Danio rerio: one gene and its partner. The protein of the gene in region 2 interacts with the protein of the main gene of each other region in a biochemical or structural test. Links are inferred from orthologs where the notes say so. Each region holds a gene or a part of one and is shown on either strand. Other genes may lie near its edges.

Region 1 (4,323 bases), on a different chromosome or scaffold from region 2:
ATGCCCTTCCAGCTGCAACCCAAAAAGACTATGTGAGCATTTTACGTTTAAAGCATTTTAGTTGTGCATAAAGAAGTTTAATAAAGGTTATTTTTATTAAATTACTTGTATAATGAAGACTATGCAATGTTATTTTACATTTGACATTTTACATTTATTTAATTTCTGTACCTGAATACTGTTAGATTCTCTCCAGAAAACATGGTTTAATTTACTTTCATTTTTGCACCATTGTGTTGATATATGAATGTAGTTTGTTTATTATATGTATATAATAAATTACATTTAAAATATATATTTATATTTCACACCCCTACACAATCATCCCAATCACACTAAACTAAAGATTTTGCAGATAGAGCTATAACTGTCATCTGGTGAAATTGAATTTATATCGCAATATACATCGCAGAGAAAAAAATGCAATGTAAAATGTTTCCAAAATCACTCAGGCCTACTATTAACAACTTAAAACAAGGATGTACCTGAAATCAAGCTTTGTTTTGTCAAATTTAACTTGGACATCTTTGCTGTCTTCTATACAAAACTCGATGAAGACAGCTTCCCGTCTGTCATACCACTTGGCAGTAGCTGGCTGCCTGCAAAACAAAAAATGAAAAGCAATGTTTTAGAAAAGGCTTCAGTCTAACTCCACTTTAATATGACATTCAAAAACACAATATCACTTAATTCTAATGGAATCCATGAGGAACTGAGCAACCAGCTAAGTGCATTTGTTAAAAGTCAAACTCCACACTAAAAGTGCAGCTCTAAATTAACATGTGCGGGCAGGAGGTCCTGGCGGGGGTGGAGCAACAATGACGTTACCGTGGCAACCTATTTGTATCAATTGGCAGGATCATGCATGGCTTCTTAACAATCTACCTAAGGCTTAACCCATGTAATACAATTATAGCAAAACCAGGCCTCTGTAATAAAGGGCTGCACAATAACTCCTATTTAAATCTGGAGTTTATTTTTATTGCTGTAGTTATAAGCAGGGTTTCTGTAGGTTTCATTAGGTTAAATGTAAGACTTTTAAAGACCTTTTTATCATGAAGGAAATTTTAGACTTAAAGCTAAATGCTAAGGATTTTTTTTTTTCGAATATCCCAGTTGGAAAATTTTTTCACTTGCCCTCTCAAAAATAATTAGAATTTAATACATTTAATAATACAATAATAATAATAATTTAATAATAACAAATATAGGTCAGGTGGTCAGTATCCTCAGCAGTAAATAAATGGGCGAACTTTTTAAAAACAATTACTGTAAGGAAAGTAATTAAACAATGATGGTAAATTAGTTCAAAATGCAATTTCTAAATGAAAAGTTTTGTTGAGATTGTTGGTGATTGTATGAGTGTTAATGGCCAGATTGGGAAGCTATACATGAACAGAGGAAAATTAAGAATGTTAAAAAAGATTTAAGACATACAACACAATATTTCAGTTGATTTGGGACTATTTGAGGCCTAAATTAAAATTTTTGAGATTTAAGACTTTTTAAGACCTTGTGGATACCCTGTATAGGATACAATAAAACAGTCATTCTAAGTAACTTTTTAATTTTAAGGCTTTAAAAAGTAACTTTATAACTTTGATTCTTGGAATAATTCACCCAAATATTTAGAATTCGCACCATTTTCTCTCCCTTATGTGGTTAAACCTTTAAGTATTTTTCTTTTGTTAAACACAAAAGATGTTTTAAAGAACTATAATTATTAACCTCCATTGTAGGAAAAAAAGCACAAGAAGTCAATGGTTACAGGTTTCCAGCTTTCTTTAAAAAATCTTTTGTGTCTAACAGAAGGAACTCAAATGTCTGAAACAATTAAAGGGTGAGTAAATGAAAATGTTTGCGTGAACTATCCCTTCTAAGATTAATTTTCAGCATCATTACTCCAGGGTTCAGTGTTTTACGTGATCATTCAGAAACCACAAGATGCTGAACATTTATTATTATATTACTATATTATTTATAAAGGAGATTTGGTTCATATTTTTTAATTTTAGCATTTATCATGTCCATACATGCATTTAAAAAGATGGTGTATCATTGATCGCAGCTGAAAACCTTTCAGCCTTGCTCTGCTGGTTTAGCCTGTAGACTGTTAACCAGCATGACCTGAAGGAAAGTACTCAAAACCATCTCACAAACCTGTCGTGTAAAGCTGGGATGACAAACTAAACCCCTTCAGTTGGCCAAATAGCCACCCAACTGATCTCCAGCATGGAAGACCAGCATAAACTGGCATTAATACCTTCTTAAACCCGTTCAAACAGCAAACATGACTTAAGCATGTTCTTTTCCAATAGGGAACACCCAGCCTGCAAGCCTTGATCTGTAAAAGGTTGATTTATATGACACATATATTGCTTGTACATTCTACAATAATGCATATGAAGCATGAATAGATGAACAGAATAGAATCATGCCATAGTAGCTTGCAGTAACCCCAGGCCTAACTATCTAGCTGCTAACCAGCTAGCTAAGCTCTGCTGTGGGGACAATGTGTGCTATTTCCACCACCAATTACCACTAGACGTTTTTCTACACAAATTCTAAGCTTCTTCACGAGGAAGATTCGTATTGTCCTAAATGTTCATACATGATAGTTGGCGTATGAGAGAGAATCTGGTGTTTCGCTGATAAAGGTTATGCACACATTTGCTAACTAGCTAAAGTTAGTGCATCCCTATGACTGCCGGTCAGACTCACATGTCGAATTCTCCTTTCAGTGTTCACCCAAATCTGCGTCTCCTCTCGCGTCCTCTCGCCTGGGGTAGTGTTTTGGATTTGTGCTGTCAGATCACAGTGAAGGCATACAGACGGAAGCTATAGCTGTTTATGCGCCGCTGTCAACCTGCACAAGGAGTGCGCGTGTCTCTACACACTGGCGCGCAGTGACGCATCAGCTCAACGTTTCTAGCGACTTCTGCTGCGCGCCCCCAGCCATGCGCGTTCCCTAAGCAAACACGTCTCCATAGTAACGCAGTGCTCGCTCCCCTGCTCGCTCCGCCTTGACAGTACAGTACAGGACGTCCACTGATGCAGGGCCACACAAATCATACGTCATACTTTTTCTTGAGTCAGAATGAAATTGTTTTGTCAGGATCCTCAGGCGTACTACACTAGGCGAAATGAATGAAGTGCATGTGCATTCACATGTATTTTATAAAAAGCATTTAATTAAATATTAATAAATAAATACAAATATCTGTCAGTCTGATAAAGGCAACACTTAAAGAACTGCAGATAACAAACGAAATAAGGTAATAATACAAATGATACCAATAATATTAATACTTTAGTAGACATTTGTTATATTAATAGTGATGATAATAATAATAATTGTAATAATAAAACAACAAATTATGAAAAATTTGTAATATTAATAATAATAGTAATAATAATTTATCATTATTATTTATTATTATTTATTATTATTATTATTATTATTGGCAGCATGGTGGTACAGTGGGCAGCACAATCGCCTCACAGCAAAAAGGTTGCTGGTTCAAGCCACGGCTGGGTCAGTGGAGTATGTGGAGTTTGCATGTTCTCCCTGTATTCGCATGGGTTTCCTCCGGGAGCCTCAGTTTCCCCCACATGTCCATAGACATGTGATCTTGGCTGAGTAAGCTAAAACTGTCTGTAGTGTATGTGTGTGAATGGGAGTGTATGGATGTTTCCCAGTGATGGGTTGCAGCTGGAAGGGCATCCACTGCTTAAAACATAAGCTGGATAAGTTGACGGTTCATTCCACTGTGGCGACCCCAGATTAATAAAGGGACTGAGCCGAAAAGAAAATGAATGAATGAATGAATGAATGAATGAATTATTATCATTATGATGATGATGATTATTATAATAATAATAATTATTATTATTATTAATAATAATAATAATATTAATAATAATAATAAAATAACCATGACACATTATTTACAATAATAGCAATGCCATAATGACAATAATTATTGCTATAAACAAAACAACAACAATCAACATTATTATTATTATTATTAATACTACTACTACTAATAATAATAATAATATTTATAAAAACTTATAATTTTTGGTTGTTGTCTGCGGATTTTTAACAGTTAAGGTATATAGATGGATGAATGTGCTATTTTTATTATTATAATTATTAATATATTATTATTAATATCTATCTATCTATCTATCTATCTATCTATCTATCTATCTATCTATCTATCTATCTGTCTGTCTGTCTGTCTGTCTGTCTGTCTGTCTGTCTGTCTGTCTAATAAATAGACAACACTTAAAGAACTGCAGAAAACAAATGAAATAAGT
Region 2 (3,656 bases):
TATATGACTTATGCATTTTAACTGGTCACAAGAGATGTCATAGGCTAAAGTATTTTTTTAAACTAAATTTATCATTTTGAAATGCCTATATGACTTCTCTGGTGACCTTATATTTATTTATTTATTTATTTATTTATATTAAATTAATTTTACTTATTTGTGCATTTTTGTGAATATTTATATTTATTTGAACAATTTTGAAATAAATACTCACAAAACTGCACAAGTAAAATAAAATGTAATATAAATAAATAAACAAATAACAGGTCACCAGAGACGTCATATGAGGTATATTATTTAACAAAATAATTTATAATTTTAAAATTTCCTAACTTTTATTCATTTATTTATTTTACATTTTTTTACTTATTAATGCAATTTTGTAAGTATTTATATTTAATTTAACAATTTTAAAATGAATACTCACAAAATACATAAATAAGTCAATTAAAATCTAATATAAACAAATAACAGATCACCACAGACATCATATAAGGTATATTATTCAACAAAATAATTGATCATTTTAAAATACCTTGCAAGACTTATCTGCTGAACTTATTTATTTACATTACATTTTATTTGACTTATTGATGCATTTTTGTTAGTATTTATACATTTTTAACATTTTTAATATAAACACTCACAGATAAATGCATAAATTAGTCAAATAAAATGTAATATAAATAAATAGCAGGCCACCAGAGACAACATATAAGGTATTTCAAAATTATATATTGTTTTCTTCAATATTTTTATGACTAAATAATAACTTTTAAACGTATAGAGTTAATATATTATGCAATATTTTTTAATTTCATGTTTTCACAGTAATAGTCTGAATCATTAGATTAATTACAGACCAATTTTATTTAATCGACAGCCCTAGTTCATAACATTCAGAAAGGTAAATTTGATGTTCTTATAATACATAAAAATATATAAATACTATATAATTTATAACAACATATATGTACATATATTCGCAATTATTAAATTGTACACACAGAATAAAAATGTTTTCTTCCAGTTGAAACCATGTTAATGGCATTTATATTCTTTTATTTTACAGAAAAGTTCCCACGGTTATTAACAGCTTAAATCTATAATTTTCTTTACAAAGTTAGATGTACATTTAATCAATAGAGAGCATGATTTAACCGAAACATTTAAAAGCCCCTCGAATTCTGTTTAGAGATCTGCAACTTAGATTTTCCCCTTAAGAAATTTGCAAAGCTGGGATGATGTCTAACCAGCCCAAGTTATTATAATAGTTTTTTTTTTTGCAATCAATGATTTCCATGTGCTCTGCCGGGTTTCCTCGGGCCAGTTTAACTCCTGGTGTCCCTCTTTCCCCCCTTTGGCTCGGTGACAGATTGCGATAATCAGCAGGTCGGAGCTGAAGCCAGCTGGAGACTTGAGTGTGGATTAGAGACCGAGGTTCTGGGGCACTTAATCTGGCGTCGCTCTGGTGCTCCATCACCACTTTCCAGTTCTCCCATTTATAGCCTTTCCTCTGCCGCTCTGTCCAAATGTCCAGCTCAGGGCGGAAATCAAACCATTAGCACATGCTTTCCACTATGTGAGGGTTCAGAAAGGGGTCACACACACACACACACACATGTCCATCTCTGACGTTTTCATTGTGTCTATCTGCAGGTGTCGAATATTAAACATGAGGACTACAAGTTCAGCACGGACGACGTGTCTAAAATGATCTCAGATGTCCAGCACATGAAGGGCAAGCAGGAGTCCATGGACTCCAAAATCAGCACCCTCAAGCAGTAAGTCATGAGAAGTCAGTTGGTATTCAGAAAAATTAATATTCTGTCTGTGTTTGTTCACACTTCCCAGGTTCTTTCTTACTTTTGCCAAAAGAAGATATTTAGAAGAATGTTGGAAAATTGATTACCATTTATCTGATTAAATACTGTAAAAAAAAATCTACATTTTAGCATGATGAAAAAAATTAGTTCACTTGAAAAAAAAAAATCTGTCATCCTTTTTTTTCCCTGTTCTTCCACCAAAAAGAAGATATTTTGAAGAATGTTGGAAGACCGGTAACCATTGACTTCTTTTTTTTTTTTTTTTTTTTTTTTCTTTTGGGTTTTTTCCGGGTTTTCACCTTTAATTTTATACGACAGTAGAGAGAATAGACAGGAAAGTGTGTGGAGCAGAGAGAAGGGAAGGATCGTTATAGGACCTCGAGGAAGCAATAGAACTCTGGTCGCTTTGAGCACCAGAGTTCCATGTGCTGCTACGCCATTGGTGCAGACAACCTTTGACTTCTATAGTATTTTATTTATTCATTCATTTTCCTTCAGCTTAGTTATTTTTCAGGGGTCGCCACAGCGGAATGAACCGGCAACTTATCCAGCATATGTTTTACACAGTCACAAGCCAGTACTGGGAAACACCCATACACTCTTACATTCACACACTGTCATACACGGTGGCTCAGTGGTTAACACTGTCGCCTCACAGCAAGAAGGTTGCTGGTTCGAGTCCTGTTGGGCCAGTTGGCAATTCATTGTTTCGATTATAACAATTAAAGAGGAAATTAAAATTGAAGAGAACTTTAAACTTTGTATCACAAAAATTAATTATTATGCAAGATATTTTTAAAAGGAAAGCACTTTTATTTTGAATTATGATAATAACACACTTACCGGCCACTTTATTAGGTACACCTGTCCAACTGCTCGTTAACTAGTTTAGGCAGGTAGACATGGTCAAGACAATCTGCTGCAGTTCAAACCGAGCATCAAAAAAGGGGGGAAAGGCAAATGGCTTTTTAATCTCAGAGGAGAATGGCCAGACTGGTTCTAGCTGATAGTAAGGCAACAGTAACTCAAAAAAACCACTCGTGACAACCGAGGTCTGCAGAAGAGCATGTCTGAACACACAACACGTCCAACCTTGAGGCGGATGGGCTACAGCAGCAGAAGACCACACCGGGTGCCACTCCTATCCGCTACAAACAGAAAACTGAGGATACAATTCATACAGGCTCACCAAAATTGGACAATAGAAGATTGGAGAAACGTTGCCTGCTCTGATGAGTCTCTATTTCTGCTGCCACATTCGGATGCTCGGGTCAGAATTTGGTGTCAACAACATAAAAGCAAGGGTCCATCCTGCCTTGTATCACCGGTTCAGGCAGTTGGTGGTGGTGTAATGGTGTGGGGGAGATTTTCTTGGCACACTTTGGGCCCATTAGTACAAATTGAGCATTGTGTCAACACCACAGCCTACCTGAGCATTGTTGCTGACCATGTCCATCCCTTTATGACCACAGTATACCCATCTTTTGATGGCTAATTCCAACAGGATAACGCACCATGTCATGAATAAAGGGACTAAGCCGAAAAGAAAAGGAGTGAATGATTCAGTCAATATGTTCTACTTTCTCTGCCTGTTCTGGTTTAGTCAAGTATCTAAACTGATTGCTAAGTAGAAGTGTTTCACTGATGTAACAGTTGGCTTGTTGACAGTCATTCAGTTAGTCCTCATCCAGTGTTACGCCGACTGGATATCAATAGCAGTTCAAAGTGTAACGGCTGAGATGTGAATGTGGGCTAATCTCTGCCGGGTTTGTGGCTGCTCATTAATGCTTCACCTTTTTCAACCCGGTTAGTCATGGCTCTAAATCAGCC

The links.
Region 1: the proteins of hsf1 (region 2) and ptges3a form a complex in vitro, tested with the Homo sapiens proteins (2 studies listed by BioGRID). The link is inferred for Danio rerio from reciprocal best matches to the Homo sapiens genes HSF1 and PTGES3.

What each region holds. Positions count from the first base shown.
Region 1 is NC_133198.1:29,970,458-29,974,780, reverse strand, and holds the start of ptges3a (prostaglandin E synthase 3), read right to left. Parts: upstream 2,894-4,323; 5' UTR 2,724-2,893; coding exon 2,722-2,723; intron 600-2,721; coding exon 486-599; intron 1-485. UniProt on the Homo sapiens protein: Cytosolic prostaglandin synthase that catalyzes the oxidoreduction of prostaglandin endoperoxide H2 (PGH2) to prostaglandin E2 (PGE2).
Region 2 is NC_133194.1:3,478,479-3,482,134, forward strand, and holds part of hsf1 (heat shock factor protein 1), read left to right. Parts: intron 1-1,659; coding exon 1,660-1,784; intron 1,785-3,656. UniProt on the Homo sapiens protein: Functions as a stress-inducible and DNA-binding transcription factor that plays a central role in the transcriptional activation of the heat shock response (HSR), leading to the expression of a large class of molecular chaperones, heat shock proteins (HSPs), that protect cells from cellular insult damage.